Caenorhabditis elegans: one gene and its partner. The protein of the gene in region 1 purifies or fractionates together with the protein of each later gene. This does not show direct contact. Each region holds a gene or a part of one and is shown on either strand. Other genes may lie near its edges. The genes, in order: T25E12.6 and Y53G8AR.6.

Region 1 (4,869 bases):
CCAAAGGTCGAGGATGATTCGGAAAAGCAGCGTATCGCCTGGGAGGCTGGACATCCGGATTATCTTGGAAAAGACGCTTTCAAGAATATCCAAAAAGCACTTGACGAGAGCATGGCCGCTGTGAAGCCACCGGCGAAACCCTAATTTTTCCATTAAATTGCCATAATGTATTTCTATAGTTTTCTAATAGTTCAGAGATTTATTCATATTGTGATCGCACTCGTATTCATGTACCATATCAATAGGAAAATAGAATAAATTCGCTATTTCCTATTTTTAAAGGACTTTTTAGGCGATATTCACGGAATTTTGGCTTCCTTCATAAATTGTAATGGAAGAGTTTGCCGAACAAGGCCATTTTGGCTCGGCCATATCTGGGGTAGATTTACGGCGAGTTGCGTGTCGCGTCGCGGCTCGAATTTAGTTGTAAAACTAAATGTATTTGTCCGTGTGGAGTGCACGCGTTGTCCGGCAGGTGATTGTCAATGAAGCGCGAAAAATTCAATGAGGAAGGGCTGAACCCCGTGGATATTTATTCACAAAAGATTAAATTTACAGATTGAAGATGACAAATTAAGCCTGACGAGTCTCCGATGTGAATCTGACTCCATTTTTTGTGACTTCTGCGTACAGGTTGTAGGTTCCGCTCTTCCACGTGTATCTTATAGTTTCAGGATCATTTTCGTGTGGAATTCCCATTGATCCCCACATGAAATCGAACAGCTCCGACACGTTTTGCACGCCGATTTCGTTGTCTTTTGGCGTTTTCTGGTTCAAGTATTTCTGAAAAATAGGATTCAAGCGAAAATCTTTGATCTACTGTGACGTTTTACGGGAACACAAAGTTGTGCGTATTGTGCAACACATTTGACGCACAAAATATCTCGTCGCGAAAACTACAGTAATCCTTTAAACGACTACTGTAGCACACATGTCGATTTACGGGTCCGATGTTAAAAATGATATTCAATTTTCTTTATTTTTCGTCATGTTTTGTAATTTTTTTTGTTTTCATTTAATATTTTATCGAATAAAAATTGAGCTCCGTAAATCGACACAAGCGCTACAGTAGTCATTTAAAAAGTTACTGTAGTTTTCGCGACGAGATATTTTGCGTGGAACATTACGCATTTTTCTGTTCCAGTTGTAACGTGGATAGAGATTTTGCTTCAAACAAACAAATCAAAAACAGTCTCCAATTCAGAAAATACACAAAAGAAAAGCGAAAAACTTTTCAATTTTGGCTGAATTTTCTGCTTGAATTCCCTCCAAAATAAGATTTTCGGATCAATCAGCGTCTGCGATCTCCGCCCACTTCATCTGATTGGATCAGAAGTGGGCGGAGCAAATTGTTCATTGGTCGCAGTTCTCGTTTTAGGGAACATTTAACCAATATTGAAAAATCTTGTTCTGCTAAGTCTAGGCGTAAGCATAAGCCAAAGCCTAACCCTAATCCTACGTCTAAGACTAAGACTAAGCGTAAGCCTAATCCCAAGCGTAAGTCTACGCCTAAGCCAAAGCCTAATATTTGCCTAAATCTAAGCCTAATAGTAAGCCTAAGCCAAGGCCTGATTTTTCCGAATTTTAGACTATTTTTGATTCGTTTGGATCGAAGCAACACAATAAAATTTAAAAAAAAACCCACCAAAACCAATAATATAACATCGATTTGCTTTAACTCAGGAATTCGAATTCTCAAACTCTCAAAGTGAGCGTGCGATTCAACTGGAAATGCAACTGGCTCGCCGGTCATTGTATTGAGCTCTTTCGCCTGCTTCCATTGCTCCGTGGTGATTATGTTATCGATGACTGTTGGTGACACGTACAGCGGGTTGAACAGGCAAATTCTTCGGAGATATCCTGAAAAAACTTTAATTTTTTTGAATAATATTTGATTTTGTAAGCAGATCTCTGGAGCTTGTGTGCCTTTAATGAGGGATTACGGTTTTTGTTATTACACATACGCGGAAAAAATACAGGAAAATTTCATAGCATAGTAGTGAAAGTTTAAAGTTACAGTACTCTTTAAAGGCGCACACCGTTTTGAAGTTAACAAAAATTGTCGTGGCGAGACCGGATACCGGGTTTTGGAAAATTGAAAATTTTAGCGTCTGGGTAATAATCAACATTCAAAAACGATGGATTTTCGAAATTACAGTAACCCCTTTTTAAAGGCGCACTACGAGTTTTGCACCATGTTCAAAGTATTTAAGCTCGCCGAGGCTGTTTACACTCATTTCGGTCCTTTTTTTGAGTTAAAATGTTATATTCAAATCGAAAGAAAGCAACTAACCTGGTTCAAAATACGGCAAAAGGCACATCACCTCCTCCTCCTTCCCATTGTACACAATCTTGAACACCTCCACTTCAAGCTTCTTCATCAATGCTCTCATCATTGCCTTGAGCATTTTAGTCAAACTAGCCGACCTTTCATCCCATTTCGCATGCTCCGTCTTGTTATTCTTGTCTCTCACAAAGTATTGATTCAGAATTCGATAGTAAAAGCAATCGACTTTGACACCTGGCTGGCGCAAAATCGAGTAGAGAGTTACAATGGCAATCGGTGCACTCGGGTACATCGAAGTGCATTCCTTTTTCTGAACGAGCACCCGATTCAATGAAATCTGTTCGATACAAGCTTCACCGGGGTACTCCTGGATTTCAACTTCGTAACGGTTACCGTCGTTTCCAATAAGCAAGATTTCCATACTATCAGTGTAGACATGCAGCTCAATGAGCTTGATGTGATTGTTCTTGAACTCGAAGACGAATGGCGTCGGCTCTGGAGCCTCTTCAGTTGGAGCATTGGGGGCAGTGGATTCCATTTTTAGAGTATAATATATAAGGCAAAAGAGAAGAAGGAGAATACAGAAATGAGTAGTAAACAGAAGAAACAACTGGCAGAAGAATGACGGTGGTAGTGGTTCACTAGCTAGTTGTAAGGTGGAACGCGCAATGTGCGCTATAAATCGATCGATGCGGGTCCTTGAAGAGCACGGTTATTGCACGGGAGACGTTACGTCATAAAAACGACATCTGGTTGGTACGCTGCATATGTACTCTACAGTGGCAGCTCATATATCGGTTCCTTGCAAAATGATGGGAAAGTGCTCAACTACCGAGGAAATGTTACAATGAAAAACACTGCCAATTTATTAAAATTCTCCCAAATGAAAAAAATCATTTTCCTAGATAATTTTTTGAACGAACATAGTAGAAAACCGCTATCTACTTTCAAAGCGCCTACCTGCCTGACTTCAAAACGAGCTCCACTTGCCTCACGCCTCAATACGTGGCTTATGCTAAACATATGTATGTGATTTTTTTTTTAATTTCTAAAATTGATTTTTAACAAAATGATAGAAATGAGTAGTGTCAAAATGCCGAAAAGAGGCAAAAGACCGGCGCCAGGCGAGTCAGGTTTCAGGCAGCCGTCATGCCCTGAAACCGCGCCTGCCTACCATGAAAGCCCTAGCAGTCAAGCTGAATAAATTAACTTGGCATATTTCAAAACACTCGGACGAAGAAAAAGAAACATTTTTTTTGGTCAACTTTCTCTGAAACTTTGTAAAATTAACTAATTGTCTTCCTAATTATTTTCCATATAAAAAAAAAAACATTGGAATCTACAATTGTTACTTAGAATTTCAAAAAATCGATATAAACTTCGCGTTTTTCAGTTGAAAACATTAGTTTTACAAATTCAAACTGTGACATCTTTAAAAACCGTTTTTTTTTAATTAAAAAAATACAATAATCGTCAAAAACAAAAAATCACCAAGAAAATCTTTATTCAAGTACACGAATTCTTGATTGATCGCTTACACAAAAATTTGCCCGTTTCCGTACAAAATCTAGTAAACCATTTTCCAACATTCTGCATTCCAGGTGCAACTGTCATATGAACACAAGTGGAATTATAGAAAAATTTCAAGTTGTTATAATTTGCCGGTGTACCATCAAGCCAATAAATAAAATCCTGGGCCGGTGCAAGTGCACCGATCAATATTTCGCCTATAAAATCGTAGATAGTCATGATGAAGCGGACTTCGTTCGCCGAGTGGATGGAGACCAGGTTTGCACATTTCTCAAGGCAAAAGTTCTGGGCCTGTGGGACTGTGAGATTCAAGTCAAAGCGGAGATAACATGACTTCTCGTAATTGTTCTTGCATCCATCTTCTGAAAATTATATTTTTTTGTAAAATATTGTAAAATATTAATCTTACTACCTTGAAAAGTTGCCGGAAGCTCGCAAACGAAGTTCATAACCTGACCGCATTGTTCGTTACCCCATTGCCCAGCTTCATCCCCAGAAGTTATGAAGTACACACAATTTCCATAGACAATATTTGGAAAACCTATGAATTTCTTTTGTTATGACGAATATTTAAAGTATCCCAAACCATCTGCAAAATTGCTATAATTCGCTGTTGATCCGTTTTCGATGTCCCATATGCATGAGATGGGTTCTCCAGCACTACACAGCAGACCCGACCACAGAAAATCAATGTCCTGGCCTTTTACAAAGTGTATCATTGCTCTGTTGTCCTGAAAGCGGGATCTAATTGGCTTATTATTTTTTCTTTTCCTGCCGGTCAAATCGCGGAAGGATTCGTAAATGAAAATTTGCCGAGCAAATCGAACACAGAACTACTTTTCAGTTTTGCAAGATACCTGTTCACTTTTTATGGAAAAAAGAGTGGCACCTCCATACCCATTACAAATTTTGTCGGCGTCTGGTCTTGCTTGATTTGAAGTTACCAGTTTCCAACACTTGTTGTTGACTAGGGTGAAGCCGTGCTGGCATGAGAAATCCGATGGGGCTGAAGACTTTAAAGGTGGAGTCTCGCCAGCAAGGAAAGTGTTTAA
Region 2 (4,988 bases), on another chromosome or scaffold:
GAAACTCGATTTTCCACTCAAAATTGTGCAAAAAACTTTAAAAATGGAGAAAAATAACAAAATTTTGAAAAAAAGAGAAATAATCCTTTTTAGCGCAAAATTGGAATGTCCGGGGGTACTGTAGCTCCAAAAGTACGCAAACACCGCAACACACCAGATCTGACGACAAACTGCGGAAAAATGGGAAAAACTAGCTTTTTGGGGTGAAAAACGACGGGAAATCTGAATTTTAAACAGGAATTTCCCAAAAACTGACAATTTCACCAGAAACTTCACTTTTAGGGGTACGGTAGCCGCGAAAATACGCAAACACCAGATCTCACGACAAAATGCAGAAAATCCCGAAAAAACGGGTTTTCGGGGTGAAAAATGACGGGGAATTTGAATTTTTCACCCGAAAACACTAAAAAACTCCAATTTTTACCCCTTCAGAGACGGTCATTTCAATTAAAACCGATGCAGACGTGGATTCATCTTCCAATGATTTAATTTTATGCTTTAAATATCGCCGAGAAGCTTCTAATTTGGACTCCACGTGGACTCCATCCCAAATACTGCATAGGGCTTCAATTTCACCGTCTGCAGACTCCATTTTGGCTGAAAATTTGGGGAAAAGAGTCGAGTTTTTCACTAAAAATTTGATTTTTTGTGAAAAATTCAAAAATTTTCGTGGTTTTTCAGTGAAAATTCTCAATTTTTTCAAATTTTCGTTCTAAAAATTCAGCTTAAAATCCAAAATTTCAGGTATGTGATCGATCACACAACAAAAAACTCAAAACTCTAAAAATTACACAAAAAAGCTGTAATTATACTGGAAATCCAGATTTTTCATGGAGAAATTGGGAAAAAACAAAAAGTTAGAGGGAAAATAAGAATAAAACAACAAGTTTTGGGTTAAAAAATTGAAAAAATAAATAAAAAATATAATTTTTTTCGGGGAAAAACACACGAAAATCGAGGAAAATGGGAAATTTTTTAGGGAAAAAAGTGATTTTTTCATAAATTTTCACGAAAATTAGGGAAAAGTGATTTTTTTCAAGGAAAACTCGAGAAAATAATCAAATTTCGTTAAAATTTAATTTTTTTTTCGGCAAAAAATCTAAAATTTTGACGGAAAAATCGCAAAATTTAGCCAGAGTCGAAATTTTCTAGAAAAATCACAAATTCGAGAGGAAAACGATTTTTTTTCGATAAAAATCTAAAATTTTGGGGGAAAATTTAAATTTTTCAGTGAAAGTTGCAAAATCTCAGCAATTTTCATATATTTTAATGAAATTTTGAATTTCTTGGGGTACTTTGGTCAAAAATGTTAATTTTTACAGAATTTTTCAGTTTTTTCAGCAAAAAATTGGGTTTCAGCTCATTTTTCGCCAAAAAATTCAAAAATTTAGCTCAAAAATCTCATTTTTTCTCAATTTTCCCAAAAAAAAAAAGTAAAAAATGCACAAAAATCAGAAAATTAATTAGATGTTCCAAATCGTTCCATTCTTGCTTTTTTCTTTGCTTCCATCTCCTCATCATCAATTTCACCACCGAATCGTTTGGCTCGAGCAGCCAATTTTGCAGCTTTTCCCTCAGAATTTGGAGCATTTTTCGAAGCTGAAGCTGAAGCTGCTCCACCAACTGGAATTCCAAAACGGGCGGCACGGGCGGCCAGCTTATCATCAGCGGCAGGCGTTTTTGGGGTAATTCCGAATCTTTCAGCACGTGAAGCCTTCGCGTCATTTGATGTTAGTCGTTTTGAGTCTTCTGGGAGATCAAATCTGCAAAAAATTTGGGTTTTGGAGGAGTTTTAAGGTGAAAATTGGGATTTTTTTTGGGATTTTTGGCAATTTTTGGGTCAGAAAGTTAGAAATTTAGGTGTTTTTAAGTGAAAAACGGGGTTTTTGGAGAGTTTTTAGGTGAAAATTGGGATTTTTTTTTGGGATTTTTGGCAATTTTTGGGTCAGAAAGTTAGAAATTTAGGTGTTTTTAAGTGAAAAACGGGGGTTCTGGAGAGTTTTTAGGTGAAAATTGAGATTTTTTGGCATTTTTTGTATTACAGAGTCAGAAATTTAGGCTTTTTAAGTGAAAAATTGCATTTCAGGTTGGAAAATTTGTAATTTAAGGCATTTTTGATAGAAAATTTTTTTGGACTTTTTGATGGTTTTTAAGCGAAAAAATGAGATTTTTCGACTTTTTTGTGGTGAAAATCGGATTTTTCTGGCATTTTTTATACAGGAAATCAGGATTTTTGGTGTTTTTAAGGTGAAAATTGAGATTTTTTGGCATTTTTCAGTGAAAAATGAAGATTTTTAGTGCTTTTTAAGTAAAACTCGGGATTTTTGGCATTTTTTTTTCTTTTTTTTTTCATTTTTACAGTGAAAAATTAGGATTTTTCACGTTTGTTGTAGTTAAAATTGGAGTTTTTGGCATTTTTATCAGTGGGAAATTCAAAAATCTCAAAATTCTAAAAATTTTAGTGTAAATATGGCTGGAAATTGCGTTTTAGAGGTTTTTTGGGAGAAAAATTTGTAAAAATGCGAATTTACAAGTTTTTGAGTGAAAAAAAAGGATTTTACAGCAAATTTTCGTGCGAAAAACTTTAAAAATATAATTTTTAGTGAGAATTGAGGGCAAAAATCCCATTTTTCCAGTTTTTAAGCTGAACACGTCAGATTTTCCACAAAATGCATCGTTTTTCAGCATTTTTAAGCCAAAAATTGATAGATTTTCAACCTCTTAGCCCTGGCAGCCTTAGCTCCATCCGAGCCGAGGTCTTCAGCAGTGACGGGGAGCCCAAATCGTATGGCACGGGCTCTTTTATCAGTTTCTGCAGTAACTTCATCGATTTTCTTATCAATTAAATGAACTTCATGCTTCTCTTCTCCCTCGGATTTATCTGTTTTGTGCTCTTCTGCTCCGTCAACTGATCCCAGAAGCTTATCAGCTTCAGATTCGTCTCCAACACTCGGAGCATCGAGAATATCATCATTTAGAATATCATCTGATAATAAATGAGTGTCAGATGTGATTCCAGCGTCGCCCAGAAGCTCGTCGGCTGCCTGGAAAATTAAAAAATTTAAATTAAAAAAAGAAAAAATTTTTTTTTTTGCTTTTTTTCCAAAAAATTTGGATTTTTCGCTATTTTTTCATCAAAATTCCCAAATTTTCCTTCTTTTCCAACCTGCTCAATGCTTTCTGTGAGCCTTGCCAACAGCTCCGGCTTGTTTCCGGTGTTATCGAGCCCACGGCTGGCGAGTTCCTCCTTCAGACGTGGAACTGTCAATTTCTTGGCATCGGCGACGCTAAGAACCATTTTTTATCTGCAATTTGAACAATTTTAAATAAGAAAACGCGGGAAAAATTGGGAGAATCCCGCGAAAAAATCAATAGCGTAGGCTTTACAGGTTTTTAGACGGTTTCTAGCGGATTTTTAGCTGAAAATCAACATTTTTAACCCAAAAAATGCAATTTTCATTCATTTTTCAACAGAAAAACCAAAAAAATCGCACGAAAACAAGCGAAATCATTAATTTTTGTTTAATAAATTTAAAATAAAGATTTGCAATGTCTGCGTCTCTCTCCTTTACACACTCTCTCCACCGGTCCCATCGAGACCCACAGCCCATTTAATCCTATGCGCCTTTAAAAATAATTCTTTTTTTTTCATTTTTGCTCAAATTTGCTCAAAATAATCAGTTTTCCACGGATTTTCTCGAAATTTTCGACATTTTCAGCATGAACCGGGTCTATTGCACCGCGCGAAGCTTCAGAACAAGTGTAAAATCGAACGGATGGGTACATAAATGGTCGAGATTCAAGCGGTGGCAGGAAATGCAGGCGGCACATGTGGAAAATGTGCAGGAAAAGCAGAGGAATAAGAATTTTATTCGATTACCGACGGGACTGTATATTACACCGGAAAGACCCGATGATTGTGGGTTGTTAATTGGGAAAAAAATCGATTTTTACTGAAAATTACCGGAAAAAATTGGTTTTTTTCCAGTAAATCCCAAAAAAGCGCCAGCAGACATGACACGGAAGGATACTGGACAGTTGCCGATGGAGCTGCTGACGTGGCACACACAAATGCGCTACGTAGATCATTCAATCGATAATATTAAACGATATCGGAGATATAAAAAGTTTCAGCATATGCAATATGATCAGAGGCGATTTTTTATTGATTTTTATTGATTTTTCAAGAAAAATACCCTAAAAAATGCTATTTAAAACCTTGAAAACCCCATTTTTTTGCAGAGTAATCCCCGAAAGACTACTTTTCCTCGGGCCCGACCTGGCGGCGGCTCATTTTCTGGTACACAGAGGTGCGGCGGTGAAGTTTGTCGGCGATGATAATTGGTATAAGAAGGATAAGTGGAATGTGAGCTAAAAAAAAGAAAACTAAGAGGAAATTGCGAAAAAATTGGGTTTTCCCCGAAAAAATACTAAAAAACTCGGTTTCTCTGCGGGTTTTCACTTTTTTCTTGGGTTTCTAGACAATTTCCACCCTAAAATTCAAATTCCCCGTCATTTTTCACCCCGAAAACCCGTTTTTTCGGGATTTTCTGCATTTTGTCGTGAGATCTGGTGTTTGCGTATTTTCGCGGCTACCGTACTCCTACAAGTGAATTTTCTGGTGAAATTGTCAGTTTTTGGGAGATTCCTGTTTAAAATTCAGATTTCCCGTCGTTTTTCACCCCCCAAAAGCTAGTTTTTCTCATTTTTCCGCAGTTTGTCGTCAGATCTGGTGTGTTGCGGTGTTTGCGTACTTTTGGAGCTACAGTACCCCCGGACATTCCAATTTTGCGCTAAAACTTCAGAAAAAAGCTTTCAGGTGTAGAAATTGGCAGGAAATTCGATTTTCGAATCATTTTTCAGAAAAATTAATCGGAAAAAGGATTATTTCTCTTTTTTTTTCAAAATTTTGTTATTTTTCTCCATTTTTAAAGTTTTTTGCACAATTTTGAGTGGAAAATCGAGTTTCTCGTCATTTTGCACCCCAA

Evidence for each region.
Region 2: the proteins of T25E12.6 (region 1) and Y53G8AR.6 fractionate together in Caenorhabditis elegans (co-fractionation; one large-scale study listed by BioGRID). This does not show direct contact.

The regions. Positions count from the first base shown.
Region 1 is NC_003283.11:16,740,513-16,745,381, reverse strand, and holds T25E12.6 (DUF38 domain-containing protein), read right to left. Parts: upstream 2,960-4,869; 5' UTR 2,826-2,959; coding exon 2,294-2,825; intron 1,861-2,293; coding exon 1,646-1,860; intron 784-1,645; coding exon 574-783; 3' UTR 501-573; downstream 1-500. Other genes in the region: gyg-2 (glycogenin glucosyltransferase), read left to right, coding at 1-144; clec-39 (C-type lectin domain-containing protein), read right to left, coding at 3,794-4,179, 4,227-4,358, 4,404-4,548, 4,675-4,823.
Region 2 is NC_003281.10:3,293,062-3,298,049, reverse strand, and holds Y53G8AR.6 (SAP domain-containing protein), read right to left. Parts: upstream 3,308-4,988; 5' UTR 3,299-3,307; coding exon 3,167-3,298; intron 3,045-3,166; coding exon 2,719-3,044; intron 1,764-2,718; coding exon 1,460-1,763; 3' UTR 802-1,459; downstream 1-801. Other genes in the region: Y53G8AR.5 (RING-type domain-containing protein), read right to left, coding at 425-592; Y53G8AR.8 (ATP synthase subunit s-like protein), read left to right, coding at 3,721-3,919, 3,989-4,154, 4,243-4,366.